4 linked regions of the Lonchura striata genome follow. The protein of the gene in region 3 interacts with the protein of the main gene of each other region in a biochemical or structural test. Links are inferred from orthologs where the notes say so. Each region holds a gene or a part of one and is shown on either strand. Other genes may lie near its edges. The genes, in order: TNIK, SGK1, NEDD4 and YOD1.

Region 1 (8,002 bases), on a different chromosome or scaffold from region 3:
GTTCTGGCAGCTCATGCATTCTGGATCTTACACATACTAATATCATCCCTGAGATGCAGGGCAAGAAATTAGTATTCCTCAGCAGGACTGTGGGGACGTGGCTTGCTGGGGGCAAGGCCATGTTAGGTTTTCTGCAAGCAGTGCAAAAATGGGGTTTTGATTGGTTTCTAACCAGTCGCAATTGGCACATTTTAAATGACTATAAAAGACCTGACACCCTCCTGAAGAGTAGGGTCGCCCTTTAATGTTTTCTTTTTTCTTTGTAGATGAGGCACAAAGGAAAGAGGTTAATTGACAAAAGGAAGTCCTGCATCAGTAGTGTGAAGTGTTCCCAAATAGCAACCTAAAATCGTATTGCCAAAAGGACATGATAAAGCCCTGATGCTATAGCCAGGCTGAGGAGAGAGACATCAGCTCCTGCTGCATCTGCTGGGGAACCACACACATTTTATTACAAACATCTCTGCTTTAGCTAAAACCTGAAATTTTACATTTAAATTTTAGCATTCTGGTAAATGATACAGAGTGTCTCAAAGGATGTGGGTGCTTGCTACCCTGGAGAAGCCTTCTTCAGCTCAGGCCAGGCACAGAGTGAGTCTGAGCTACATAAACCAGGCACGGGCACAGCAAGCACTCCTGCTGCTTTTGGCAACATACTGGGGGTGGCTTCCAGGCTGGAGTGTCCTTGGTGGCTTTGGTCCACAGTGGCAGTCCTTAAGAGAAGACAAAAGCAATGGCAACAGAAGGGGCATAAAGAAAACCCTGTGCTGGTCCTCAGCATATATTTTGCTCCCTCAAATATTTTGGGGAAGAACCCTGCAGTGCTGTGGGTGAGTTAACCTGGAAGTGAACCATCCCCTGTCTCTTTCCCCGTGGTGTCCCAGGAATTTGCTGTTTGAGTGTACCACTCTGTTTCCTGATAAGAATATGTAGAGGAAGGGTTTTCCAAAGAGCCCTTGTTGATTTTCCATTTACTCCCCAATCACAGAGGTTTGTACTTACACAATGCTTGAGTAAGGGAGTGATGCACTATCTACAGGGGATTTTTCTTTTGTATACAGCTATAGGAAAAATCCTGGCAGCAGGGTTCACTCATGTAGTCCTGCTCTGCTCCAAGGATGCAGTGGAAAAACACTTCTCTCCCTGGAGAGGAACCCTCATCAGCAGGAGGACGAGCAATCAGTAAGTGATAATGAATCAGTTAAAGTGCATTTGAGATCAATAGATGTCGGTTAGGACACATGTAGCCAGTCATTTCTGAGTCTCTTTTATCACAGCTGCATGTTAGCCTAAACCCCAATTATTATGCATTTTATGGAGTATAAATTTTTCAGCATTCTCTGTTTAGTTTGGGCAGAGTCCTTTAAGTACTGTCTTACAAGGGTTAACAGCGGGGCAAACCAGCCTGGACTTAGGACACCAGAAAAACTGGGGCTACATGGTCACAGAATTATTGTGGAATAAATCATATGTTGGTGCCCAAACATGCTTCCCTGTTTGCTTCATTCCTCATCTTGATGATCTTTTGAAGAATGATCCAAAGCCCAAAGCACCTGAAGCTGTTGCTAATTGGGCAAGGGCTTATGTGTCACTTAGATTTATTCATCCTACATACACTCCCTCACAATATAATTAACGGCGATGGCACTGTTAGATAATTAAATTTAGTTTTAGGCAGAGGTCAAATGACCTGGATAGCTTATATGGGGGCTGATGCCCTTCAATGAGTAAATCAAAAATAGTTATTTCAGGGTCCTCCACTGCTGACAGCAGAGCTTTGGGTCATTAAGGTGCTCATTGCTCACCAAGGCCTGTGGGAAATATGGAATTTTCACATGTGCCCACTTTCCAAATGGAAATGAAATCAGAAAAACAATGACCTGTCACAAAATGATCCCAGTATGTGGCAGAAGAAATGGAAATGGAGCTGATAAGGGATGTGGGGACTGAGCTGGGAGGGCTGTGTGCTTCTTCCATGGTTATTGCTTCATGAAGGATGGGGTGTTGTAACTCAGTTCCTTTATTTGGCTTGGTGGTGCCCTGCCCATGCTGCGTCTCACCCACAGCTGTGCCAGCGCTGGCTGGAGCTGGTGTGACACAGCAGGGTCCAGCTGCCATGCCCAGGGGGGACCTGCCAGGTAAAAACTGAATCTTGTGCTGAAATTACTCACGGCAAAATATTTTGAGCCACTTCAGCTGAGTACTTTGTTTTGAGTCACAGTGACTGTAACTGAAAGGTTTCTTTAGACGCTCCTGGCATAAAAAAAACCAACAGTGCACAGAGAGACACAGATAGATTGGTAAATGCATAACTAAAAGAGTAACAAATTGCAAATTTAATTTTTTGATGGAAAAAGCTTCCTGCTCAGTTTAAGCTTTTCCTGCAGCCTGCCTGGGCACCAGTACAGCCCATGTAGCATCCCTGGCATCTCCAGAGGTCACTGGGTGCACATCTCCCCTCCATGGCTCCAATTTTGCCCCAAGCAGCCTGGAAACAGTAGCACTCTCTGGGATTTTCCTGTCACTTCCCTCTATTGCTTTATGCATTTCTTATTTCAGTGATAATAGGAGGGTCCTCTACATTTTTCCCATCTCTATAGGCAGTGGATAGATTGTAATTAAATCACAGCTTAGTTTGGGACTTGGCACTCGTGCTGAGAGATCAGGGCAATCTGTCTATTTGCAGGATTAGACATATCTATCTATATATATGCATATATTAATCCTTATGTTTTTCACAAATAATCCTGTGTGTTCTTGGATGCAAAGCACATTAGAGCAAGCCAGCATCCTCTCTCATCCTGTTTGTTCCTCCCTTCTCTGCCTGAGAACAATGACGGCAGGAGGAAGTCTCGCATTGGTTTGTTACCAGTTTCCAGGCAGTTTTGCTTCCAGCTCCCCAACTACAAGCGCAACATTGCAAATCCTGGGCTGGAACAGACACAGACAACATCTGGTCTAGAAAAACACCACGAAAGATTGGGGAGTTTGTTGAGTTTAGCATTTAGATCAAAATTACCTCTTTATATGTGAGTGAGGGCTATTGACTGTGCACGATATTAAGGAGTGATGATTTGTAGCTTGGGAAAAGGGGTTAAATCCCGGCAGCCTGCCGCCACTGCGGGTGATGTGCAGCCCCGTGCGACTTGGGCAGTTCATCACCAAAAAGAAATCACATTTTGCTGTGCCCTCGCAGCCCGGCAAGCTGAAACGCCGGCGCTGCAATCAGGATTAGTAAGTGATAAGGCAGGGATGCAATCCCCCGGGCAGTGCGGGCTGCCCAGCCAGCCGAGGGCAGCGGCAGCACCAATCCTGATCTTTTCTGCGAGGTTTCAGCAGCTCCTTCTGGCCTTTTTCCCTCCGTGTCCCTCAGTCCTGCCTGGTGAGGCTGCACCTCCCGCACCAGCAGCCTCCCCACAACTGCACGACTCTTTGCAATACCATTTATTATTACTTTTTGGAGCACATCTCCAATCAGAAAGTGTAAGAAAATCCCATCCGCCTGCCAGTTGACTCATGTGTAGGGTTTCCGCTTCCCAGATCTGCATATTGTAAGCTCCTGACACAAGTTGATGTTGTAAGTACAGCTTCCATACGGTTCTCTCAAAGGCAACAGATTTTTTTATACATATATATTTATATACGGCACCTGGTTTGGCAGGAACCACATCCGAAAAGGGGAAATAAGGAAAACTAAAAGCTGACTCTACCTAGCTATTGCTGGCTTGGGAAGCGGTTTGGCCAATTACAAACACAGCATCAATCTCTTATTCCAATTAGGATCAGCCTGGGAGCTGGTAGTGCTGGGATGGCTCTCGAGTGCCGAGGGAACAGCTCGACAACCGGCCAGCAAACCCGGGTGTGACATCCGCATCCATCTGCAAAAGGGCCAGATCCCACTGAGCATCTGAGGAACACCAAGCAGGGGGATGCGTGGCTGCTGCTCTGGCCTCGGCGCTTCCCACCTCCTGCCTGGCAGGATTTGGGCTCAGCACCTGAACCTGGGCAGCTTTTCACCTCCTGCCTGGCAGGATTTGGACTCAGCACCTGAACCTGGGAAGCTTTTCCACCTCCTGCCTGGCAGGATTTGGGCTCAGCACCTGAAACTGGGCAGCTTTTCCATGTTCTGCCTGGCAGGATTTGGGCTCAGCACCTGAACCTGGGCAGCTTTTCACCTCCTGCCTGGCAGGATTTGGGCTCAGCACCTGAACCTGGGCAGCTTTTCCACCTCCTGCCTGGCAGGATTTGGGCTCAGCACCTGAACCTGGGCAGCTTTTCCATGTTCTGCCTGGCAGAATTTGGGCTCAGCACCTGAACCTGGGCAGCTTTTCCACGTCCTGCCTGGCAGGATTTGGGCTCAGCACCTGAACCTGGGCAGGTTGTGGGCAGCTTTTCACCTCCTGCCTGGCAGGATTTGGGCTCAGCACCTGAACCTGGGCAGCTTTTCCACGTCCTGCCTGGCAGGATTTGGGCTCAGCACCTGAACCTGGGCAGCTTTTCCCGGCGCACCTGACAGGCACCGCTGCGGGCTCCTTGTGAGGGGAACCCAGGCGGCCCGGGCGCTGCGCCTGTCAGTGTCGGGGGGGATCTGCGAGCTGCACGAGCCCGTTTGTGCGCCGCTGGGCGCGCACCCCGGAGGGTCCGGACGCCCTGAGGGTCCCTCCGGGTCCCTCCGCGGGTGCCACCACCGCCACCACCCCGGCCGCGTCCCCTCGCCCTCCGCCGCCACCGCCGCGGTCCCGGCGCGGCGCCCGCCCGGCCCTGAGGGGGCTCTGCCCGCCCCCGCGCGGCGCCGCCCCCTGGCGGCGGGTCGGGCGCCGCCCCCGCGGTGACAGACAGGGGCGGCGCGGGGCCGTGCGGGCGCGGTGCGGGGCGGGCGCGGTGCGGGGCGGGCGCGGCGATGCGCCGCCGCCGCCGCCATCCCGGCGCAGCAGCCCGCGGCGAGCCCTGCCTGCCTGGCCGCCGCTAGGCAGCCGCGCTGCGGGCGGAAGGACAGGGGCGGCGGCGGCGGCTTCTCCTTCCCGGCGCCCCGCATGAGGAGAGGCGTTAAATAGCGCCAGCGCCGCGGCGGCCGCCACTGCCCGGTCGGTGGCGGCGGGGCCGCCTGGCCGGCGGCGGAAATATGGCGAGCGACTCTCCGGCGCGGAGCCTGGACGAGATAGACCTCTCGGCGCTGCGGGTGAGGCGCAGGGCCGGGGATCGCGGGGAGGCATGCGGGAGCGGCACCCCTCCCACCCACCCATCCATCTATGCATCCATCCATCCATCCATCCATCCATCCATCCATCCACCCACCCACCCACCTATGCATGCATGCATCCATCCATCCACCTATGCATGCATCCATCCATCCATCCCGCGATGGCGGGGAGATGGGGCTGGGGGTCTGCGGTGCTTGGTGTGTGTGTGTGTGTGTGATGTGCGCCTGCACGTATGTAAATGCGGGTAAGACAACCCGTGTGCGCGTGCATGTGCGTGCCCGCCGCCGCGTGTGCGCGCATCCACACGTGTGTGCATCCGCACATGTGTGCGCGGATCTGCGGGTGTGCGCATCCGCACATGTGTGTGTGTGTGTGTGTGTGTGTGTGTGTGCCCGCCGTGCCCCCGCAGGTGTGTGCGTGTCCGCGGGTCCCACCCGGACACCGCCGCGCTGCGATCCCCCCGTGGGCAGGCGGACACGCGGGGATCGCGGGGCCGGGCTGCGGAGCTGCTCCCCAGAGCCCCGCTTTCCCCGCCCCGGCCCCGCAGCCTCTCTCCATCCCTCTCCCGCGGTGTCCCTGCGCGCTGCCTCCTCCTCACCCCCCTGGAAAATGAAGCCCAGCATGTACCCTTGAAATGTCAGGCTCGTCAGACGTGTCAGCCGCGGCGTGGGCTGTGGCCTGATGTCCCCCCTGGTCCATTTCTCGTGTAACTTTCTTCCTTTTCCCCATCTTCCTGGCCGTAAGAACAGCTCGTTGGGAACGAGCATGGGGAGTCATTGAGAGAAACAGCATTTTTGCGGGAGGCAGCAGCCCGGCTGCTCCTCGTAACCCGCTGCATAGACAAATAAATCAAGCAAAATCCGCTGAAGACTTGAACAAGTGTATTTTTAGCAATGTTATTTGCTTCAGTGCAAGAAAAAAAAAAAAAAGAGAAGTCTATCTTTATTCACTTGCCCTACTTTCTTTCTGGTGAGTTTCTGGTTGATTAATAGTGTAAATGATTGCTCAGCAATACACGGTGTAGATGAGATTGGAATGGGGGAACCATCTGCCTTAAAAACAGACCTGGAGCTGGTTTCCCCTCTTAGGTGGAAGCTGGGAGAGAGGGAGAAAGGTTGCTGAAGCCAGTGGAGTTAATTCAGGAGACCAGTATAATTTAGGGAGCAGAGGGCCCTCTCCTTCTTCCCCACCCTCTGTTTTTTTTTTTTTTTTAATTTTTTTATTTAACATCTGTGCTGGGAATTGTATTTGAACTAGGTTATGATTTCTCTTTAAAGCCGTATCCAGACGTGCTTAAGTTGTTTTGTTTTTTTTTTTTTTGTTTTTTTTTTTTTTTGTTTTTTTTTTTTTTTTGGTTTGTTGTTTTTTTTTTTTTCCCTGTTTGTGGCTTTTTAATAGCAATGTGCACCAGCTACAGTCAGGGTTTTGTTTTCGCTTTAGGAGGAAATGTATATTCCCTTCCTCCCTCCCCCCCGAGACCCAGCGGCAGCTCCTGGTCGGTGAGCAGAGCAGCGCTGGCATTTCAGGGTAACCGGAGACAAGGGGACCCAAAACCCCGACTGACCCCGGGCTGGGACAGCAAACCCTGCTCTCCTGCCCAGCAGTGACTGTTCTGCCAGCACGGGGCTGCTGCCAAATCAGCCCTCTGCCCCCTCCCAGGGGGACAGACCTGCTGTGGCACTTTCCTGTAAATGATGAGAGATGTGGTGGTTTGCAGACGAGACAAGAATAGGAGCTTAATTTGCCAGGGAATAGATCTTCTTCTAAACTAAGCTCCTCCAGCACTTAGAATAATTGTTAAAGGTCGTAAATTCAGCAGATAGGGCACGAAGCGTGAATCATTCCATGGGGTCTGAATCAGAAATCGATAGTAAATTTGCTGCCTGAGCACAAAACATGGCAGGGAGGAGTAATTCCCCAAGCCTTGCAAAATTTTTATGTATCAGAAAAGAAATGTCACTTTGCAGTGGGTTTGTAGATGAGTCTGGGTGTAGGAGATGTTGCTTTTGTGCTGCTTGTGTGTTTAAAGGGGTGAGAGGTGACTCTGTGAAATGCTGGGAGCAGGTAGTGACTCAAAAATCTGGCGATTTGTTCCCAGCAGCAGGGAAAGGAAGCGCTCAGGACACTTATCTCTGAGTTTGAGTCACTGAAATGTTCCAGGAGGCTGAGGCTTACGAGCCACAGGCAAATCTGTGTCAGAAAGGTCAAACTCTGCCTGCCAGTCTGGCCAGTCCTTTGCTTTGGCTTCCCTCCTGCTGTCCCAGGGAAGGGAGGTGTATTTGCAGGATGGCAGCGTGCTGTTGTGAAGGCTGAGCACAAGCAGAACCCTGCACACCATCATTCAGTTCAGTTTGCCACTGCCCAAGGGCTTATGAGGTGGGATTTATAGATCTGGGCTGGAAGGTGACATAGGAGGTGGCAGGAGCTCCCGTTTTTGCCACACTGCAGAGTTTATTTTGGCCACACAGTCGGGCTCCACCGCAGCAGTGCATCTGCTTGATGTGCTGGAGGCTGGGCCAGGAACAAAGCACTGAGTTCTGATTAAAATGCACGGCCTGGTGCATCGAGTAAGTGCACTTGGGGCTGGCTCCTGCCTTCTCTGTGACACGTTTCTATCCATCACTGGGCACCGTGCTCATTGCCGTGGTACCCAGCAGTGCCCCTGTGGGTGCAGAGGACTGAGTGTGCCAGGATAGGAAGGATTCTTAAACCAGAAATTTTCCAGTGGTGGTGCTGGTAATGAGGATCGTTAATGTAGCAGAAAACTGTAATTTAAAACAGTGAGGCCATCGAACAGGTAG
Region 2 (7,404 bases), on a different chromosome or scaffold from region 3:
ATAGCAGCATTTCAAAAATTTAATGTGTTTTACTCTACATTGATTTGGATTTTCTAGAATTAGACTTGGAAAGCACCTCTACTAGAAATATGTGCTTTTGAGGAGATAGACGCAGTGATTTCAAACTGGAGAGATTGAAGCCCCAGCCCTTGTTTCATCATAGACCCTGCTGGTGATCTGGACAAGCCTGCTCAGTACCCAGATAACAAATGACCTTCTCTGTGTGTCAGGCATCTTTCAGTAAAGAGGGATAGCAGTAACCTCACCGAGCAGCCAGGAGTGCCAGGCTCTGCAGTGCAATTCCTGCCTCCCACTCTGGATGGAGGATGCATCCCCTGGGTTGCTGGTTATGGTGCACTGGTGCTGTGGGGATGCAAACTGTCAAACAGCTCTACCACACACTACACTCAGACCAAGAAAGCTCACAAATGTGCTTCTATACACCAGGATTCTGGTGGTTCAGCCAGAGTGTCCAGATCACTGGCAGGAGACCAAATAAACTCTTGAACCATCTCTCCTTGTTCTCACAGTAGTTAACATGTGACACATCACCAGTCCAGCAAATGCAAGATATATTTCTGGGAGCCAGCAACACATTATGAGCATATAGCTATTTTTGTTTGTGTGTGTTTCAAACACTGGCATTGGACAATGGGGATTTTCTGCAAGGAAGGTAAGAGGGGTAAGAGAAACATCAATGAACACATATATCTATTAACAGAAAAGTATAGGGAGAGAATTCCCTTCTTTGTGTCTCTAAATTGGTTTTACTGATTTCATCTATCTTCATCACAATAGCAAAAAGGCAGCATCTGTTAAAATGAAAACATTCAGAAACCAAAGGCAGCTATTTGTCCTGTTCCACTGTCCAGGACTGTATCAGTATGACAGTTTCCTCAATTATGACTACAATTAACAATCTCTTTCAACTGTAAATTCATGGATTACCAGTGTAGGTCTGAAAAAACCCAGAAATCACAATTTTCCCTTCTTATAGAACAAAATTAGGTAGAGGTTTCCAGTGATAACTTCTCAGTGACTCTAAAAAGATAGAAGACAGTTGACAATACAGGAACCTTATACAGGAATTGCAAGACAGTTACTTTCCTCTTTAATAATACAATTATATTAAAATCTTCAAGCAGTTAAAAAAAAAACAACAGATAACCTTGCTGGTAAGCTGAGTATCAGGTAAACATGTGCCAATAGTAATGTACTTAAATGAGAAGCATGTTGGGATGACAACCATTTTTAGGGGCTGAATTTATGTGCTGTTTGAGTTATCAGTCTGAGGCTTCTACAAACTGCCTTGGAAACAACAATTGTTGGCTAACACTGCATTTTTTTCCTCTGAGTGACCCAGCTAGTATTTTCTATATCTGCCCTTAAATGTGGCATCTTGGTGCCTGAAAGGGTTTGACCCCAGCTTACAAATTAGTTACTGGTGTAGGCTTCATTATTTTTGCCTGAAGGGTTAAAAGAACTGACCATATTCTTGGCATAATGGAGGGAGAGTGAATGAATGAGGATGAATGAATGAATGAACTAATGAGTGAATGGAGCAGCTTATCTGCTCCTACTCCAGTCTGTTTAAAGAGAGGGTTGTCGTTTTAATCACTCAGGAAATCCTTTCCACAGTGTAGTCCCTGCTAACAATCTCTTTCTGATGCTTTGCTTCTGCTGTCTGGGTCTACCCAGATTTATTCAGAATACCTGTCCTGATGCCACATGGAAATGACTGCTTCTCAAGTAAATAAAGAGTGTGCAGTATTGTCACTAGAAAAGAGTCAAAGAAACAGAAAGGACTTAGCTAAAGCGACGAGATAGAGTTACACCTGCATTTCTTGGAGAAAAACAGAATAAAATGCATAGCAAATATTTTCTGAATCCTGATGTATCTATGTTAAAGAATATAAAAGAAAATCAAATCCAGGTGTAGCTCAGTCTTACTCTTTTCTCCTGCATGAATTATGATTACAGTCAAATTAGAAACTGTGAAGTATTTTCCTGAGCTTACAAATGCTTCTTTGTTCTCTTTTTCCCCCTACTTTGTGAGATGATGAATGGATGAGGGTAATGCTACACTTCAGGAAAGTAAATGGAAGGTGTGGAGGGAGTCATAACCCTAGGTGGATGTGGAGCAGCGAGTCAGAGGCAAGCTGCAACATCCCTGCACTCTGCTTTGGAGTGCATTATCCCAGCCAGAATAGCTGCCTGTATTGCGTCAAGCCCTGGGGTCAGCCGTGACAGAGATACACATTCCACAGCAAAGAGTGCTGATGTAATGCCTTTGGAGCCCCCAGCCTTGTCCCCCTGCCCTGCTCCTCTTCACCTACACTGCTATTACCCTTGGTGTTCAGTAGAACTGCCCATGCCATGGGCTCCATAAAGTAGAAGACCAACATAAAGCACTTTCATTCTTCAATGACTTTCTCTCTACTCTGGCTGAGTAAGAAACACAGCAATAATAAAAGAAAAGAAAAAAGAAAAAAAGAATTAAAGGAAAATCTGGAAAATCTTACCCTCTTTTTAAAAAACTGAAAGGCTGAGCACTTCTTGACTGGAAATCCATTCATGTCTTTGTTGACCATTTTCCACAGTGAAGGGTACACAGTGATAGATCCAGTGTGCCAGTGTGGCACTTGTTAGTGCATCTGTTTTCCTCTGTATTCTTTCAGCTAATGAAGACAGAGCAGGGCAGGAGACTCACCGGCATGGCTCAGGCAGCTGTCCTTTACACATTCATCCTGCTGCACCAGCTACTGCAGCAGCAGCACAGTGGCAGCAGCAGCTCTCACATGCAGCTCTCTATTAGCTTCTTAAAACCATCCCCTAAATACATATCCTCCTGTAAAATCCTGTGACAGCTCTCAGATCAGAGGCAGCAGACCTCAGGCTAAGTGGGTCTCACATAAACCCGGGTCCATCCATCCTGTGAGATTTACTGGTACCACATGCTGTATAAGCATAGAGGATACCGTGCTTAATTTGCTATTTTCCTTCTTCAGGTGGTGCAATTCACTGCTGTTTGAGATGAGAGCTGGTTTTGATTGTGCAAATTTCAGTGGGAGCTGCAGTTCAGTAATAGCAGAGAGAGAGAGAGGGAGGGAGACAGGGAGGGAGGGAGGGAGGGAAGGGAAGGGAAGGGAAGGGGGGGGGGAAGGAGAGAGAGAGCGAGGGAGAGATGCACAGGCAGAGCAGCCAAACACAACCATACAAAGGGTAGTAGGAAGGCTCAGGGAAAGAAGTGCTGAAAGGCAATATCTTTCCCCTGGGATAGTGACAGAGGTAGCTGTCATTTTATAGGTGAACAGTCTTTGAGTAAGAAGAAAAGAAACACAGGTCAATTAAAAAAAATGTTTTTCTTATGTTCTGATTTAAACAGTGTTACTTTGGAAAAAAGCCCATCCAATGATCAATGTCATACTGGGTTATGTGACAGGACATGCTGTAGATAGTTCAATGAGTTTAAAGGAAACCCACAGTTCCTATAAAGTACATTTCTTATATGTGGTGCAGATAAATGTGACCCAAGCAGACACAGACACATTTGTCCAGATATTTCCATAGAAACATAGATATATATCTTTGAAACCCAAAGGGTTTTTCATTAGAAATAGGACTGAAAGAATCTTGAAAAGGCACCTTTTTAAACTTCCTTTTTATTAAATTCAATTGAGTTAAATGTCACCAAGTCCAGTGAATCCAATAATATGTGTTTAACTGAACTGTAAAGTCTACCTTAATTAAGTTACATTTTCCAGAAAGGTTTGGAAAATAAAATAGGGTTTTCATGACCTCCTATCAGCCTATGTTCCAGGTTAATAAACCTCAGTTTCAAGAAAGGACCTAATTTCTAATTTCTAATACTGATCTGGCTTCTCGCTCGAGCCAAAACTTCCAAGATTGGTCAGCCCTGTAATATAAAGTATTTTATATATATATATATATGAGGATATGAGGATACTTGTCTAATTTAAATCATCTCTATGTTTAGGTAAATAAACTGAGCATTTCACATTTTTCAGTGGAAGTAATTTTAAGTAGTCTTTGAAGATATTGTGTCACTCTTCTTTGCCCCTTTTATCCCCTCTTTTGAAGATCCTTTGATAATAAGAGCTGTATATCCTATTCAAGTGCAAGGTTCCCCTTATTGCATGTAGAGAGGTAAAACTATGAACATAGAGAATCCCACAGGTCTTTGGACCTGCGCAACTCACTGGAGACTCCAGGCTGAGCAGATTGTAGGCTATGACCTTTTTTACAAGTCAACAACATGTATTTCCCAACTTTGTACCTTTAGCTCTCCATCACTGTTTATAAACAATTTGGCTGCACTCATCCTAGACTTCAAATTTCTTAAGGATGTAGTACCACAACATTCATTCAAAACCTCTTTTCCTCATACCTATTTCGCCATTTTTTCCCTTTTCTTTTCCCATCCTTTCCCATCCTTTTCCTGTCTTTCCTCTTTGTATTTAATTTCAGTAGTCACGATAATACTCTGAGAAATATTTCTTGAGCTCAGGTTAAAAATTCTGGTCAAAATTATGAGGGGAAGGTACAGCCTGATCCCAGGTCACAAATGAGAACACTCATTGGGAAGCTACAGTTCAATGTCCAAGCAGCACAAAAGACATAATCTTGATTTTGGATGTTCTTACAGGACTGTCTGAAGCAAGGAGATTAAAAGCCAATATCTCATCAGAATTGTTTCACTTTATATAACTAATTGTCACTGAAGCAAGGACAGAGGGAATTTTCCACTCTGCTGCTCTGTCTGGGGCTAATGGATTTTGCCAAGGAGCAATTCAGCCCGGCCCTTAAAAACTGATCAGAAATTCAGAGTGCCCAGCTAGAGGGACATTGGGGAGGTTTTTAGAAAATACGGAATTCTCAATATGCATCAGCAAGTCTTCCCTGAAGTGAGCACCACCCTCCTCCACCTTGCAGCCAATCCCTCAGTCTTATTGATCTCTCATAATCTTTTGCTGTGCTTTAGAGCTGTCAGAGCTATATTCTGCTGCTTACAGATAGAGCTGTAGACAATGGCGAGTGCCCAATTTCTACTGGTGGTGTCTCTCACTATTCTGAGCACCACATGCTTCGTTGGCTAGTCTGAAATGCAAGAAAATGATTGTCAAAAGAATGACTTTCTCTCGGGCAAACCAGGCAGCTTGCTATGCACGTACATTTATTTTTGAGATCTTTGATCTATTCAGCCACAGCTTTGATCTGTCTCTCAGCCTCAGATATTTCTCCTGCAGGCACTGCCTTCTCTTTCACAAAAGCATTTGTGTTGTCTCTACCTTCTCCATAAGATTTCCAGCCTGCTGATTGAAACACCATTCTCCTTCAAGCCTCCTAAACCCAGCACCCTGTAGGCTGCTGGGGGTGGAGACTGCTGCTGCGAAGATATCTCATGAGTCCTGGTGCAAGGGCCTTGGCCCCAGACCTTTTTGGCTGTTTACTTTGTTTGGGTGCTTGCCTCTTTTCAGCTGAACAAACTATGCCCTTAAGTTAATTTCCATTAGAGAGAAAAAACTCCAGCTGCTTTTTAAGTAGCCTGATAGTGATAGTTTTAAAGTACTGTAGGAGTTATTTTTTGATGCAGGTGCATTGCTGCAAGGGGAATGGCCTAGGACACTATCCCTGAATCACACAGAGCTCTCCTTGGCCTCCTCAGGATATCTATATTTTGACTGGAATTCTTCTCAGCTGGAATCTCATTGACTCTGTGGCCTCCAAGGAGTTTATTTCCAAACATTTTTTTTTTTTTTTTAATACAGTATCAATCAGAGTGCAACTCAGTGCCTGCAGAGCTTATATCTAGCATTGGAGATCAAAAATATAAAATAGGAGGAAAAAGGGAACACCACATATTTGTTTTTACACCAGAAGCCAAATATTTAAAGCCAGAGATATTTTTACTAGAAAAAATGTTTCACTTTTTTTTATGATGCCAAAAGCATGGCTTCATAATTAAACCTTAAATGAGCATAAAAATCCATGTTCACTGCATTTAACTTCAGTAAAAAGGCATAAAAATTGAGTAGGAAAATAAGAATTTCAGCCAGGACAACACACTCAGCTGTGCTTTATTGTGATTGTCACAAAACATCAAGGGCTTTCATCAGCCTGGTGGACTGCCAGATATACCAAACACTTTAAACAAGTCCTACAGGTACTGCATGCTTTAACACCCTTTAGCGGTTCCCATTAAATTGTCATATACTCCGCAATGATAAAATAAGTTTTTCATTAGGGCAGTCAGGAGAGAAATACACATGTATCATAGCTACAGAATTTCAGAGAGCTGCAAAACACATGGTAGCATTTGAATTCCTGTGAGACAGCCCTGCAGGGAGAGCATGAAGGTGTTTTTCTTGAAGATCTTCTTGAAGAAATAACATAACTTTTGACTGACGTAGTATGCAAGGGGCACTAAGCCTGGGCCAGAATTCTCATTCTCTTGTTGTGCCTCTTATGAACACAGATACCAATAATTTGCCTTGCTTTTAAATGCTTACAAGTGCAATGTCACAGATAACAGGTGGTAAATCAATCCAGGGTTTATCATAGAACAAGTAGATTACATTGACAAGTTTAATTAGCTACGACCTTAACAGACTAAATCTTTTTCTCCCACTGACTGAGAAGAATGCTCAGTATGAAGTCACAGTTTTTAGTATCACAGCCCTTTTTTTGCAGTTCCCTTTGCTGTGCTTTCAAAGTTGCTTACATCTCTGGCAGGGGCCAAAACCACATGTGGCAAATCATCTCTAGAATGTTATGGGTTCTTACACAGCTGCTCAGTCTGTGAGTGCTGCTTCCTTCACTTCCTTTGTGGGCAGGGAAAGGTGGATAGTTTCCAGCACCCATGACTGATATTTTACTCTGGTATGCAATGATAAAGAAAGGCACAGCTCGTTTATCAGAGTACACCAGGACCAGCTCAGAAAGTAAGAACAACAACTGAAGAGAGCAGAATGGGTGTTTGAACATCTTCTATGTCCAGAAATGTCTAGTTGAATGTCCATATGGCTTTCATCTCAGCTCTGCCTTAGAGCAGCTCTTGACACTTCTGTGGTTGCTCCTCTAGCTTTGGTCTTGTTGTGTGGACACTGCTCTTAGGCCAGCTCTCACGTGTTCTTCATCTTGTATTGCTCACAAGCATCACTTGTTCCCCAGTTTCTACTTGTATTTGACATCCCTGCCCCTGATCATATGCAGCTCAAGACCTCATGGAGTGCATGGTGCAGCTTGTCAGGCAAATTTTCCCACCATTCTTCCTCTGTGCTTGCTCCATATGCTCTCCCAGTCACTGTGAGGAATGGGGCACTGAGTGACATGGCAACAACCCCAACAAAGAGCCTCCACATTCACACACCAGAAGTTAAAGCT
Region 3 (7,490 bases):
GTTGAAAGGAATCCCTTAGAAATGGTCTGATCATCTTTTTGTGCTAGCTCACTAGGCGAAATAATTAATCTATGAGATGTTTGATAGGTGCCTCTGTGTGGTAGTCGACCTGAGCTCACTGGAGAAGCTGGAGGGGTACTGGAAGGACTCCTAGGAAAAATAACCAGTGACGAACAACGTCGCAATGGAATTTTAGTTTTCTTTCTCACTGACAAAGCATCTTGGTCAAAAGTAGTATTACTTCTGTACAGTGTTTCCTGAGATGAGTTGCTCCTGGAGGGATTACATATGTTTGCAGTGCTTCTACATGAAGAGTCACCACAGAAAGTACTGTCACTTGTCCAAAGAGCGCCACTGTCACTGATGATACTGTTAGTATATGAACCTCCATCACTTGTGGTACTTGCACATGATCCATAGTCACTGCCAGCACTGCTGAACGAGCCACTGTCACTTGCTGCAATGCTGCTGAGGCTGCCTCTGCCCAGAGCAGCACTGCTCAGAAGGCTGTCATTAGATCGATGGTCAGACACAGGTCCAGCACCACAGCTCCCTTCGCTATCAATACCAATGAATGAAGTGTCTTCACCAGCAGCCACGACATCACCAAACCTAGAACATCCATTTTGCTTCCTAGACTGCAAGGAAATGTGCAATGAACTGCTCTTTTTTATTTGCAGTGAAGAAACAGTTGTGCTTTTCTCTTGATTAATTACTTGTTGCACTACAGGTGCATAAGCAGCTTGTCTAGGAATCAGTTTCACTTGTGTAATGCTAGGTGCAGAACTCTGTGATTTTTTGAAGTACATACAATTATTACTATCCAAAAAATCTTCAGAGGTTTCTGATAATGGGTCTGTGTTGCTTCTTTGAGTAGCAAAATGCAATCTTAACCGTCGTGCCATTTGTTCTCATTTCCATGCATGTTAGCAAATGAAACCCACAAAGATCCTTCAGCAGAAAGGCTACAGGCAGCTGCACAGAACCCAGAGCTGGTACATTGCAACAGTAAAAGCCCATAAAAGTTGCAGTCTTTGTCCTAATTTCTACAAGATACTAGCATTTTAAAAGAAAGTACCTCTTGAAATAAGTCAGCCATTCCTTGAACTGCAGTTTCTGGACCGGTCGTTGATTGCTTGCAGTCAGAAAACCTTCATTTAAAAAGCACTTATGTTCCAGAAACCTCAGCTGCGACACACTGACAAACACTACTGACCTTGTTGCAATTACACCTTCTGGAATTTGCATAAATGAGTACTATAATAGGCTTCCAGAACTTCCAAGCTGCAAACAGCAACGCCTGCTGCGGCTGCACGAGCTGAGTCAATGTGTCCGTACTTTCCTCAGCAGCGTATGACTACTAATATTTTTACCCATAGGTTTAGAATTACAGGAAGTTGGTAGGAATGAAGTCCCATATAATTGAGTATCAAGTCCAGGATTGAATTTCCAAATAGTAACCATGCTAGCAAACTGCTGAGGTCTGAATTATGCATAAACTAGTGAAATAAGCCTCCTCTCTCCCTTAAGAAAATGTTTTTCTGCACTATTTAAATAAAACTTGAAAGCAATCTGGCATTATCTTGCAATCCACATGCTGCTAAGCAATCACACTTTCTAAAGATTTGCACATAGTAGAACCCTCTGTGCTTATTAATTCATAATTTTAAATGAAGTGCAACTGAAAAGGAGCCAAAAAGAGTTTTTCTGGTTAATAATTTGGCATTTATTTTTATTTCTAGTTTGACCTTTTCTAACTGCAGCTGTTAAAGGTAGAAAGAAACAAGATTACTCTTACAAATCAAACTACCTCATCTTATTTGCTAGAACCCAGAGTAAGGACACAGTCATTACAGTTCAATGTGATTTGCAGATTTGTGACCAGCTACACAAACTTCAAAACACTGAACTAAGTACGCACAGAAAAAAAAGTGTTACCAAACAGAATTACAGAAGAAAGCTATTCTGTATAATTATACACAAACTGCCTCACAGATTCATACCATTTTTTTTTTAATTTTCATTTTTTAAAAGAAAAAGGTCATCATGTCAAGAAGTTAATATACTGTCAATTCTTCCAAGAGTAAAGAGATTGAGAATTCCTACAAAATGTTTCATTGGCTCATACAATCTGTAGAGGTCCTTTGCTGGCACCTAGTGGGATTTTTGATAAAAGACAATCTTGAATATTGCTGTTAAGTGGGATTTCTGTTGTGGGGTTTGTTTTGAAAAACACCAACATTTGGCTATCAATGTACTTTTGAATACATAAGCCATATATGATGCAGTACTGAATGCTACTGCTCTAACATGAAATTACTTAGTGCTGCTGAAAGAGTACAAACAGAAGAGAACACTAGGCCATTTATACTTTTATAGGTCATACTACTAGGAGTTTTTTCTGCTTCATATTTATTTAACCTTTACTGTATTTTAAGCTAGAAGGCAGTAAAATTAACATTTATACCTCCTTCCCAAAAAAGAGCCAAGAATCAAATTCACAGTACCTTGTTTGCAAGCAACAAACTTGTTTTCTAATTATACTCCAGGGCTTACTTAACCTCCATTACCTGAATTCCATTATTAGAATGCAGCAATAAATGAATACTAGCTTATTCATAAAAAGCCAACAAATACAACACTTCATTTATTTAATTATAACCAACAGGACTTCTTCTAAAGTTGTATGTTGCTGAGGACTGGGGATAGAAGAGGAAAGGAAAATACCATGAAAGGTTCTTTTGGTCAGTTTCAAAATGTTACATTTGTACTTCAAGCAATACAGTAAAAAATACCCATAAAACCAAACACAAACCAAAAAGATCAGCAAATGATCCTAAGATATGTGAGCAAAAAGTAAAAAATGCATTTCTTAAGGCTTCTTCTCTCCCCAAGAACAAACATATTAGTGGCACAGTTTGTAACATATTGCTGTAATGCAAAGTGCAACCATTGGAGGTACTTGTTTCTTTTAGTAAAAGCATTATTTTTTCCCCTAGTGGATGATCTGAAATGTTTCATTCAATTTTACTAAAGAAATCCTAAAAAAACAATAAACTGGCATAATTTTTGGTAACTCAAGGCTTAAGATTCCAGCAAAATTTCTCAACACGTCTCTCTTCCTTAGCTATACCTGTATAGGTATTGCCAGCCAACTACAGCTTTCTCAGGCAATGTAAAATGGCTTTTAAAGTGTTAAAGTCAATGTTGCTGAATTAGAGTTGGCATAAAAGTACACTAAAAGTTAGTATTTTTTAATATATACCAACAGTTCCATTTAAAGCTTAATAGAATTGATTTCTTCAGTATCAATAACCGATTTAGGCACTTAATTTGCAATATACTTAAATTTTGTAAAGGTATTGTAAGACAGATGGCAAGAGACATGGTCTCTTCACTGACTCACCTCCTAAGTGATTTCAATGTTCTTCTTGACATTCTTCTAGTGTGTTCTTAAAGACAGCCACAATTAAAGACTCCACAAACTGCTCAAGCCCTTTATTCTTTACTGCAAACCCAAGGGTTTGCATGTCAGAAGAACAAACCAAATTTAGCACTCCTTTATCAAATCCAAAACAAGTGATTTTTGAAAAGTCTTAAAGCTATTACAGGAAGATTTCAAAACTCTGACTAGGGGCAATATAACCAATGCAGCAAGACCAACACAACAATTAAGCTAAACTCTGAAGAAAGGTTTTGAGGTTGGTATTCAATAACACAACTTTTTTTAAAAACAAGCAGGTATTTCTGGCTTCCATTTATTCCTAAAGTTAAAGAGAATAAATGCACTTGGGATAAAATTTTGTAAAGAGGAAATTAACCATTAGGAGGACACAAATATAAAGAATATTTCAATTTTATCAAACTGCTAACATTTAGACTTTAAACAGTCATCCAAAAGGTAGATGAAAGAACACTGAAAATAACAGAATGAAATACTAAAATAACAGAAGATGAAATATCTTTTGATCATAGCTACTTAGCTATGATCACACATACTTACCTATGATTTTCATCATGTGATGATGAATTAATGGAAGTGGGGGAGCTTGCCAATGCTAAATAACAATCATAGCTAAGGCAACAATTTATCTTGCTTAGAACAACCCAAGACATCTGGAATAAAAACATTTTCTGAGAGCAAGCTGAAGAGAAATAGGGAGATGGTCTTAGAGTGACTGATGAGGTCATGACACTTTGATCTCTAAATAAAATCATGCATAGGAAACAAAGCACCATTTCCCAGCTGATACCAACAAAATCTTTAACTGGTTCCTCTCCATAAGCAAACAGATCAAATAATTTATAGATTAGATAAAGAATGTGAAGGAGTTCTGTTGGAAAATACCAAGGAAACACCAGCCTTCTGCCCCCAAAAAATCAATAATCCTACTTTCTAATCATGCCTCGTGGCTTCCAGGTGGTGGCAGCAATGCTCTAACCAGACATAAAATGGACAGAGTACTTTGACGTTGTGAAGGATATGCTGTAGCCCATAATACTATGTCCAGATGAAAATCTAAGCATCCTGAAAAATCATATTTAACTTCCCATGTAGAGACAAGTGCTTATGATTCCTTTTAAATAAATCAAAGAGACACTGTATTTTAAATACTTGAGACCGGTAATATCACCAGTTAAGCATTAAATGGTCTGGGGACTGTGTAATGCCTATAACCAAGAAACAAGCCTCCTCCTTCTTAAAACTCATTATTCCAGGCAGTTTGTACTTACATTTACACACATTTTTACTCTTCCCAATCTCAGAAGAGCAGCATCTTGATAAAAGATACAATGGTTTACTGAACACATGCAGAAAACTTTAACAAGAAATGTTCTTCATGGCCAACACACTACTCAAACACAAAGCACTAAGAGATCCTTTCTTTGGAATGAAACTGTGTTTGTCATGCAAAAGCATTCAATCCCTCCCTTTAGTTCCAAACTCCTGCAGAAGGAAAAGGTATTTATTTCAGTGACAAGGAACATCAGTGAAACAGAGGCAAGTGTCATGGCTGTACTGCTACAAGCTTACGTACAATGCAACACAAAAACAAATACAGGCAACCAGACATCTGGACACAAAATGAGAGCCTGGGTCAGAGGAGGAATGTTGATTTCAATTAGATAAAAGCACAAGCTAGCCCTATCTCACCAGTGACCTGCCATTCAGAGTGACACCTATCTACAAGGTTGCAATCCATTTCTCTCTTCTTGAGCTTTCCAAAGAAAATCCATGTATGCTGTCTTTGATGCTACTCCTCACACACTGAGGAAGCTTCTCACACCACATATCAATACTGCTTTGTTGACAGGGAAAAATAAACATCCAATACAGAGCTTTCAATATCACCAAAGAATTTGGTCACTATGAAAGAATGATGCTTTCATGAGTTAAAACACATTAGAAGTTTTAAAATAATAATGTCACAGCTTCAGGAGTGTGGTAATATCATATAAATAATCAGGTCTGCCTTTAGCTTTAGGTTTCATTATAGAAATTAAGGTTGTTTGGAGTGGGTTTTTTATCCACATTGAATCCTGATGGACTGCTTTCATTCAAGTCTTTAATACACTGCAAAATGAACATAAAAAGACCTACCAAACGGTTTTCATCAAATACTTCAAAAAGGAGTCTGTGCTTCTGAGGATTAACCTATGAAAAATAAATATAGTGATAATTAACATATGTACTGAATTTCAGCACTTGTCTTCAGCAAAATCTCTGTGTTTATGCAGGAGGAAAGAAATACCAAAGGTCTTTATTAAACAGCAAATTTATACCTTGCTGCCATTCTACTTTGCAATGTTTTTCTATTTGAACCAATAAACCATAACTGGTACTATCCCAAACTGTTTCTAAGTCTATGCACATGCTTTTAAACATTCACAGACGACAGAAGGCAACACCAAGACTGAAAATTTCACATTTGTCTCAGAATTAACAAACATATTTCTAAGGACAACAATTTGTGAGCCTTTCAGAACATTAATTGTAGAGTTATTTCCAAATTAGGGAAGAGTTCTGAAGTGGGGAGAGTGGTGAGTAGTTTTTCTCAATGTGTAATACATCCAACATGTAATAAGGCTATAAACAAAATCACTTACTCTAAATAAGAGTTCTTCATTCCATTTTGGGTTTAAGGACTATGTATGGAGGAAGGAAAAAAAAAAAAAAGAGAGCATTAGTTATACTGACTATTTTGTACAATTTTTGATGTATTACACATTTTATTCCATGTAACAATCCACTTAAAAAAATACCTTTAACCTTGATAGTGCTGGTAAAAGTCAAAGGAGTTTAATGCTGTTCAGAATGGACACAATTTATGCAGGTATTGTCATATATTGGCTATGTCATGGATGTAGAGAAGGTGCTTTAGACACTTGGAAATAGTTAATTTAGAGTATGTCCCTTCAGTAAATAATCACTGCCTTCCTCTCAGCTCAACACCCACATTACTTACATGCAAACTCTTACCAAATGCCAAATCTCTAAGCAACAAACTACACAGACCAGGCACAGATGGGCCAAACACAGCAATAACTCACTCAGCTAAGCTCATCTTTGAACTGTGATATTTAAAAAAATACTACAGATAGTTTAGCTACAAAGGGAGTTTAATATAAGAATTATCAACATGGAAGGAAAAATGCATGAGCCCTCATAAATCACAGCCACTATCCAGAACAATTTGGAAGAGTGCTTTCCCTCTCATATATACAGTTCTTCATTGTCAGTTAAACTAAGTTAGCAGTACTGACTTTTTCCTGCATGTATTCTAGAAAATCAAGGAGTATCATGATTCACATGAATGGTGCAATTTGATGCTTAAACAGAACAAACTGTTTTTTAACATAAGATAAAAAGTTGTACAAGAACAAAGATTCTTATATCATTAAAGAGCTCAGAAAAATCAGAACAATCCAATACTTCCATTAATAATGTAGTTTTGAATCAGTACTCACCTTATATTCTTCAGTTTTTCCTCTACCTTTCAATAAAATTTTTGAAGAGAAAACACCACAATAATGCCATAAACAGAGAAACTGAGCAGACCATAGAACACTCCCTTCAACACAGCCATTCACTCAAAATACATGAATTCTTGTATTTCCTATAGCTTTAACTTTTTCTCTGGAGTCTGTTTTTAAAAAAAACCTTAACACAATACCAGAAACCCCAAACAAACCCCACCACACCCACACAGATAAGATGACTAACCTTTCTAATAGTTTTTGTCTGAATACTGGTAAGGGCTCCATTCACTGGATCATACAATGTCACTTTCACATATGGGTCACTGGTAGGGGAAAAAACAAAACAAGTAGAATGCTGCTCTATGCCCTTTTTGGTCACCATTATCAGCAGTCAAGTTTTAAAGGCTTAAATTTATAGCAGTTATGTAACCATGGGTTACAATTACTTTACAAATACCACAGACATTTGTAATTACAAGCATTTCCTACACAGTTTTAGAGATAAAAGT
Region 4 (7,758 bases), on a different chromosome or scaffold from region 3:
CCACACACAATAAACACACACTTTCTAACTTTAAACTGTTAGAGAGTTTTTGTCCCTCACATCTGGATATCGGTACTAGATCAATATCTGTTGGAACTCAAAATGTCCCTCAGACATTTTTGGAGGTTCCGGGCCCAGGTCAGAAGCATTTGAGACCCTGGCAGGCAGCTGGAAACAGCTGTGATTTTGGGCTTGAACCATGGAGTGATTTACCAACCTTGAAGGTGGAACAAGGAGTCACAAAAGTTTAGATATTATAGTAGCAGTAGTCACAAAGTAGAGGGGAAAATTTTTTAGTATTGTACAAGGGGGTTTTAACACCTGTACAGGGGGGTTTTGGTTTTGTACACGGGGGTCAGAAGTTTTAAGATGGATTTGGGATCTGGGCTGATCCTGTTCCTCCTCTTTCTCCTTCCTTACCTCCATGTTCTTGGTGATGTTGGCACTCACAGATTGGTTTAGAGTAGAAAAGCACCATTTAATATAGGTAATAGGCATTGGGGAAAAACTGTAAACATGTAACATGTAATGTACCATATAAAAGATAGAAAATCACCATTTAATATAGGTAATAGGCATTGGGGAAAACTGTAACCATGTCACACGTAATGTACCATATAAAAGATAGAAAAGCACCATTTAATATAGGTAATAGGCATTGGGGAAAAACTGTAACCATGTCACACGTAATGTACCATATAAAAGACAGCAGCAGCCCTGGCAGGGAGAGAAGAAGCAGTCGGGGTCAGAGAGGATGTCAGGGTGTGTGTGTGCCTCTGCCTGAGCTGTGAGCAAACCACAGCAGCTCCAGAAGTAAATCTTTTAGATAACTTGCAATAAACTGCCTTGAGACCCAACAACAGAGACTGCTGAGCCTTTCTCTGGAAGCACGGGTTGGAGGAGAGATTTTTCCACCACACGGAGCCCCTGAACCAGGCCAGGGGTTCCAGCAAATATCCGCATTTTTTTAATAAATCACCAGGGCACAGCTGGGCACCTACCTGCTTGCCCCGGGCCGACAGCCCCGAGTCCCCTCCAATCCTGCCCAGGAGGTTGTACTCGCTCTCGCCGTGCCGGCAGAGGTAGATGGTGCGTGGCTGGACGTGGATGTTCATCAGGTAATAGACAATTTTACTCTGGATGTAGTCCTGCACTCGGTTAACCAGGAACCGCTGGCCCACGTTGATCACTTTAATGAAGGAAAGATCTCTAGAGTGGACATAAAGGAAGAACAACCCACATGGGTGGTTTGAAAAACCAGGCACAAGCACCTGCAAGGGTCACCCAGCTACTGCTCCTCTAGGAAAGGCAGGACAGGCTCAGAACTGCTGGCCTTAAAAATCCTTCCCTGGGAGGGTGGGGAGGCCCTGGCACAGAGTGGCTGCTCCTGCATCCCTGGAAGTGACCAAAGCCAGGCTGGACAGGGTTTGGAGCAGCCTGGCATAGTGGAAGGTGTCCCTGCCCATGGCTCTTTGAGATCCCTTCCAACCTAAACCATCCTGTGGTTCTGCAGCACACACAGAAAAATCCCTTCAGATCTCACTTGGGACGTGTGATTCACCTGCACACAGTCACACCTGGGGAGAGCAGAGGTGTTGGAGCATCCTGACAGCAAAGCAGCTCCTGTGCCCAAGGACAGAGGGATGTGCCAAGGGATTTGCTCACTTGTCATTAGCATCCGGGTCCAGAGGCTGGTAAGTGACCTTGTAGCACTCGATCCTCTTCAGGAAATCGTCCATCACATTCTCCCGGTGCCTCTCTGGGTAGTCAGGGCTGGAAACTTTCACCTCCTGCCCAACAGACAGCCGAGTTAAGCAAACTCAAGAGGGAAGAAAAGCCACGATGAATAAAATTCCCCTCTTTTGAAACAAATCCACATTGTTTGACGCTGCCCTGAGGAAAAACCTGCTCCTGGAGAGAAAACAAAGGGCGACTCTTAAGGCACTGAAGGGGTTGGCCCTGACAGACACCGCTGGCTCAGAGCTCTGCCCTCCCTCCCTCGCCAGGACAGCGCTCCAAGGTCACCCATTCCCGGCTCCTCTGGATTTCCACATTCTCACATAACGGCATCTCTGGCTTTTAATAAACCTGCAAATCCCAGCTCCTGTCCCGCAGGTGAAAGGAGAGAGGGAGGATTTCACAGAGATCCCCACGAGCTCCCCGAGCCCGTGACCTTGCACTGGGAGCCTGAACAGCAGCCGAGCCTGGGAAGGGCAGCACGCACCAGGATATTGGCAGCGATGACCTCCGGATCATCACAGACAGACTCCACAAAAAACACCTGGGCAGGAGGCAAGGAAGCACATTTCAGAGTCAAAACTGCAGAGCTGCTGTGCCAGGGAGCCACAGCATCCCTCAGCACAGCGACTGCAAATCACACGCACAATTAATCACACACACAATTAAAGCATTACCTTGAAAGCATTTTCCTTAGCAAAATTTAAGATCAGGTCTCGGCGCTCCCGAGTCGTGTTGGTTGCATCAAACACCTGGCAAAAAATGAGGAAGGAGTACTGAGCAAGTTCATCTTAAGACTTTTAAACTCCAGCTCCAAATCAGGTCCCCGAACACTCCAGGCAGCTTTGAACTGCCCTGGTGTAAAATTATTTTTAGTGCAGAGGATCTTACAGCTATTTGCCCACACTCCTCCAAGAGATAAGACTTCACATCTTCCAGAGCCACCAGGGCACAGCGTCTGCAGGACAGAAATAGGGATGGTCACAGCTGATGGAAAGCATTCCCACAGCAAAGCTTCTGAGCCAGCAGGGAGGGATTCAAACACCTCCCTCGCACCCCTGCACCGTTCTAAGAGCCCCAGAGATCTTGGGGCACCTCCACTGTGTGGCCTGACCCTGAGCTTTGTGGCAGCCCCAAACTCCCACACCCATCCCATCCCTGGCAGGATCCCTGCACAGGCTGTGCTGTTCCTTCTTCCTTCCCCAGGCGCTCGTGGTTATTTTCTGCTCCTCGTGCACACAGCCTGCCAAGACTCCAGCATCCCCAGCCCTCCCCGGAGCCACCCAGCCCCTGACAGGGACTCACTTGCGGATTTCCATGGCCTCTTTGTTGTCGTGCCTGAAGAAGTCGTAGGACTTGTAGGACTTCACCGCCTCGCGCCGATACACCCCTAAATTAAACACTTCACAGAGGAGAGGAGAGGGTGAGGGCATTCCGCTGGCAGGCGTCACAGCCCGGGCAGGGATGTCCCCAAACACGCACACCCACCTTTGGTGGGCACCCCGATCCAGTTGAGGTAGCGGGTGAGCTTTTTGGACATGTAGGTCTTGCCCCTCGCGGGCAGCCCGATCATCACGATCAGCGTAGGGGAGTTGGTCATGTAGGAAGCCCATGCTGCAAAAAAAAAAAAAAGAAAATAAAAAAAGCCCCCAAACCACCCCAAAACAGCATCAGGGGCGCTGCAGAGCATAAAGTGAGACCCAGCGCAGCGTCACCCCGTGTCCCGGTGGATAAAGCACCTCCGCGCATCCCAGGACGGGCTCGCGGTGTGTCCTTGTCGTTAATGAGCTGCTGTGATCACTCTGGGTCTCCCAGGTGTTTGCTAATGAGGCGCACCGGCAGCACCGCTGCCTAATGGGGCTTTTAGTGTTAAAAGCATTTGCCGCCCGGGCAGGCGCCGTCAAGGGCGAACGAAAGATGTTTTTAACAAAACGGTCACGTTCTCTCAGCAAAGCAGCCCGAGCAAGCTCCGAAAAGGCCCGCGGAGAGGCGGATTTGGGGCGAAAAGCACGGGATGGGGATGGGCGCGGGGAAACGGCGGGAGGGGAGAGCGGGGCAGGGGCAGGACGGGGACCCGCGGGAGGGACGCGAGGCTCGGGGCAGACGCGCGCAGCCTTCCCCCCTCCCGCCGCGGATCGCGGTTCCGTAGGGCTCGGAGCGCGCACCCTGCCCCGCACCGCCGGGCCGGGGCTACTCACAGCACTGCTTCTCGCCGGCCCGGCCCCGCGGGGCCCCGGCGCAGCCCCGCGGCGCCGCCGACATGGCTCCGCGCCGCCGCTCCGCGCCCCGCCGTATGCAAATCGCATGCAAATCAGCGGCGGAGCTCGCACACGGCGGAGCGGCGACGGAAACCGGGTCCCGGGGACCGCACACGCGGGAAAAGGGGCGCGGCGGGGCGGGAAAACGGGCCCGCGTCACGCGCGCGGGGGCGCGCGCTGTACGCAAATGAGATCGTGTGGGCGGGGCAGCCGCTTGCTGTATGCAAATTAGGCCTGGAGGGCGGGGCAGCCGCTGCTGCATGCAAATAAGGCCTTGAGGGCGGGGCAGCCGCTCGCTGTATGCAAATGAGGCCTGGAGGGAGAGCCGCGCGCTGTATGTAAATGAGACCGAAATTTCGGTGGGCGGGGCGAGAGGGGAACGGGAGCGCGCGCGCCACGCAAATGAGATGGGCGGCGATGAAAGGGGAGCGGAGCTCGCGCCTCTATGCAAATTCAGGCGGGCTATGCAAATCACATGGGCGGTAATCATCGGGGAAGGGCGGGGACCGCGACTCACGGCAACGCCTGGCGTTATGCAAATGAGCTGGCAGGCGGCGTCCGGCTGCATGCAGACTGAATGGGCGGTGCCACCTCCTCTATGCAAATAGGAGGGCGGGCGCGCGGCCCGGCTGTATGCAAACGCGCGCCGGGGGCGGGGCGCGGCGTGCTCTCGCGAGAGCGGGGCGGGCCGGGCCGGCGGCGGCGGCCCCGAGGATGCTGCGGCTGCGCTGCAAGGCCCGGAGCGGCTCGCACGCGCTGCCGGGGCTGTGGCCGCACTCCCGCCTCCGCGACATGCAGGCCGCGCTGGCCGCGCTCACCGGGGTGCCCGCGCCCGCGCAGCGCCTCCTGCACGGCTTCCCGCCGCGCAGCCTCGACCTCAGCGACGGCGAGCGGCGGCTGGGCGAGCTCGGCATCCACTCGGGTGAGGGCCGCGGGGGGCGGCGCTTTGCGGGCTCTGCCGCCCCGCCGGCTGTAATTGCGTTAATTAAAGAGGCCGTGGCACGCACGCCCCGCGTCAGCCGGCGGTCGGGCCGGTTCCTGCTGCCGGGGGAGGCGGCGGCGCTTCCTGCTCGCCGCCGGTGCTTTGGCCGCTGCCGGGGCTCCGCGGGGAGCAGCGCGGGGCTGGAGGGGACGGGGCCCGGCCGCGCCAGGTGAGTCCCGCGGGGACCGTTGTGCTGCCACCGGCTGTTGGCCGAGGCTGTTCCCGGCGGGACGCCGAGCCGGGGGAAACGGGCCCAGGTGTGCGAGGCCAGGTCGGACGGGGCTCGGAGCAGCCCGGGCTGGTGGAAGGTGTCCCTGCCATGGCAGGGGTGGGGATGGGTGGTGTTTGGGACCCCAGACCAGTCCATGGTTCTCCTCCGGGATCCTCAGCAGGGACAGCACGGCCGTGTTGTTGTGTTTGAGGAGCAGCAGCCGCTTTAAGTCTCCCCTTTGCGCCTCTCTCACCCATCCCCGCTTCTTTCTGGCAGGTGACACTCTCATAGTGGAAGAGGACACATCCAAACCCGAGCCTGACTCGCCGGTGGTGGCCAAAAAAGCAATGTCCCAGCCTGTCAGGGAAGCCGTGCCTGTGCTGGCCAGGAGGGTGGTGCCAGCAGACAATTCCTGCCTGTTCACCAGCGTGTCCTACGTGGTGGAGGGCGGCGTGTACGACCCCGGCTGCGCCCCGGAGATGCGCAACCTCATCGCCCAGATCGTGGCCAGCGACCCCGAGTCCTACAGCGAGGCCGTGCTGGGTAAAACCAACAGGGAATACTGTGACTGGATCCGCAGGGAGGAGACCTGGGGAGGAGCCATCGAGGTGTCCATCCTCTCCAAGTTCTACCAGTGCGAGATCTGCGTGGTGGACACGCAGACCGTGCGCATCGACCGCTTCGGCGAGGACGCCGGCTACAGCAAGCGCGTGCTGCTGATCTACGACGGCATCCACTACGACCCGCTGGAGCGGCGCCTGCCCGGCTCGGACCTTCCTCCCCAGACCATCTTCCCCAGCAGCGACGACGTGGTGCTGGCGCAGGCGCTGGAGCTGGCGGATGAGGCGCGCAGGAAGAGGCAGTTCACGGACGTGAATCGCTTCGCCCTGCGCTGCATGGTGTGCCAGAAGGGACTGACGGGGCAGCTGGAGGCCAGGGAGCACGCCAGGGAGACTGGACACACCAACTTCGGGGAGGTGTGAGCTCGGCGGGAGGAGGGTGCCATCGACTACCTCAGCGCTCCGGAATCCAATTCTGGAGTCCCCAGATAAGCTGTTTGTAATCATAAAATTCCGTTCACAGAGCTTGAAAAGCGAATTAACTTCACGGTGGCCGAGGCGCAGGTTTGGGAATAGGGGATTGGGAATAGGGATGGCACTTGGGCAGGTGGTGGACAGTGGCAGCCACACCTTGATTTCATCACCTTTTCTGTGTGTGTGTGTGATCTGAGCACACAGACACAGGCTTGTCCAACACTGGTGTAAAATCCACCTCTGAGGTGCTGAATGTACATTTTCAGGGTAATTCAATTAATCTGAGGCTTTGGGAAACACTCATGTCAGCATCACTTACACTGAGAATTAGGCTTTGCACTCACGCTGAGAATTAGGCTGAGCAGCTCTCAGAGGGGAGAATGCTCGTGTGGTGCGTGATTTGTAATGGAAATATCAAGTACAATAACAAAATATAAGTTGTAGTGGAAAGAGGATCTCTGAGCTGCCCTGTACCGTCAGGAATAGACTGTGTAGTTTGTGTGCAGAGAACTTTAGGGAAAGCAATGGCCTCTAAGCTTTAAGGTAGCCTTTAAATTAATGAGTAGATGAATAAGTGTTGAATAAAACTTACTAATCCTCCGTAGGTAGTTTTTAGTTGCTTGAAAAATAACTCTTAATCCCCTGGTGTTTACACTGCATCAGAGCATAAGCATGTTTCCTGGAATACTTGGGATTCTTCATAATTGCATTGGAAATTCCTGCAAGAGGGAAGTGAGTAGTTAGGGAAGTGACTTAATTTGCATCTGTTAAATACATTGAGTATTTTACTTGAGCAGAGCCAATCACGGCCATGGTGTTACTAAGCTGTTCCAGTTTCCAAATACTGTGAATGAGCACTTTAAGGTTGAGTTCTCACTCTTTGCTGGTAAAAAGTTTTGCCCTCTGGAGGCCAGAGCCAGAAGGGAGGCTTGAAATTCCATCTGCTTTCTGCCTTAATGTGTTTGATTTGCCACCGCTGACTGCGGAGTAGCAAGACTTTCATTGTGATAATGAAAGGTGCAGCTGAATATTCAGATGAAAATAAGCTGGGAAAAGTGCCCCACTCCTTGGACTGTTCAGAATCAGGGAAGGTGAAATTGGTTTAATTGGAATATCTTACCTCACGGTGGGGTCGTGAAGCTGAACAGCGAGGGCTTTCAAAAGGTGCTGTAAAGGTGCATATTACTGAAGGGGATTTATGTTGGTTTTTTTTTCTTTGAAATGCCTGCAACACGTCCTTATTTCTTAAATTTTAAAATATCCTTTGCCTGCCATTCTTCTTTTACTGTTTTGAGTGACCTTCTTTGCACTTTTAGACTGGGGAACAAGAAGGGGTGTCCTTGGACTGAGGCAGAAATATAAATCCACTTTCCACGTGGAACCTAAAACCCAGTTTGAAAGGGCTCTGTTCCCTCGGGCACTGACCAAACTGGTGCAGCAACACCACCTTTTCTGCAAAAATCATATTTCTAGTTCTCAGCAGAGGCTCCAGTTGGATCTTGAAATACAGGAGGGTTTTATTGAAGAAAGAAGGTA

Evidence for each region.
Region 1: the proteins of NEDD4 (region 3) and TNIK form a complex in vitro, tested with the Homo sapiens proteins (2 studies listed by BioGRID). The link is inferred for Lonchura striata from reciprocal best matches to the Homo sapiens genes NEDD4 and TNIK.
Region 2: the proteins of NEDD4 (region 3) and SGK1 form a complex in vitro, tested with the Homo sapiens proteins (3 studies listed by BioGRID, with this or other methods). The link is inferred for Lonchura striata from reciprocal best matches to the Homo sapiens genes NEDD4 and SGK1.
Region 4: the proteins of NEDD4 (region 3) and YOD1 form a complex in vitro, tested with the Homo sapiens proteins (2 studies listed by BioGRID, with this or other methods). The link is inferred for Lonchura striata from reciprocal best matches to the Homo sapiens genes NEDD4 and YOD1.

Annotation. Positions count from the first base shown.
Region 1 is NC_134612.1:22,735,823-22,743,824, forward strand, and holds the start of TNIK (TRAF2 and NCK-interacting protein kinase), read left to right. Parts: upstream 1-4,917; 5' UTR 4,918-5,122; coding exon 5,123-5,179; intron 5,180-8,002. UniProt on the Homo sapiens protein: Serine/threonine kinase that acts as an essential activator of the Wnt signaling pathway. Recruited to promoters of Wnt target genes and required to activate their expression. May act by phosphorylating TCF4/TCF7L2.
Region 2 is NC_134605.1:58,640,370-58,647,773, reverse strand, and holds the start of SGK1 (serine/threonine-protein kinase Sgk1), read right to left. Parts: upstream 3,092-7,404; 5' UTR 2,592-3,091; coding exon 2,523-2,591; intron 1-2,522. UniProt on the Homo sapiens protein: Serine/threonine-protein kinase which is involved in the regulation of a wide variety of ion channels, membrane transporters, cellular enzymes, transcription factors, neuronal excitability, cell growth, proliferation, survival, migration and apoptosis.
Region 3 is NC_134613.1:11,478,229-11,485,718, reverse strand, and holds the start of NEDD4 (E3 ubiquitin-protein ligase NEDD4), read right to left. Parts: upstream 3,032-7,490; 5' UTR 906-3,031; coding exon 1-905. UniProt on the Homo sapiens protein: E3 ubiquitin-protein ligase which accepts ubiquitin from an E2 ubiquitin-conjugating enzyme in the form of a thioester and then directly transfers the ubiquitin to targeted substrates. Specifically ubiquitinates 'Lys-63' in target proteins.
Region 4 is NC_134632.1:2,156,402-2,164,159, forward strand, and holds the start of YOD1 (ubiquitin thioesterase OTU1), read left to right. Parts: upstream 1-4,709; coding exon 4,710-4,917; intron 4,918-5,464; coding exon 5,465-6,171; 3' UTR 6,172-7,758. Other genes in the region: PFKFB2 (6-phosphofructo-2-kinase/fructose-2,6-bisphosphatase 2), read right to left, coding at 1,002-1,209, 1,666-1,790, 2,225-2,281, 2,415-2,489, 2,629-2,695, 3,043-3,139, 3,226-3,351, 3,936-3,999. UniProt on the Homo sapiens protein: Hydrolase that can remove conjugated ubiquitin from proteins and participates in endoplasmic reticulum-associated degradation (ERAD) for misfolded lumenal proteins.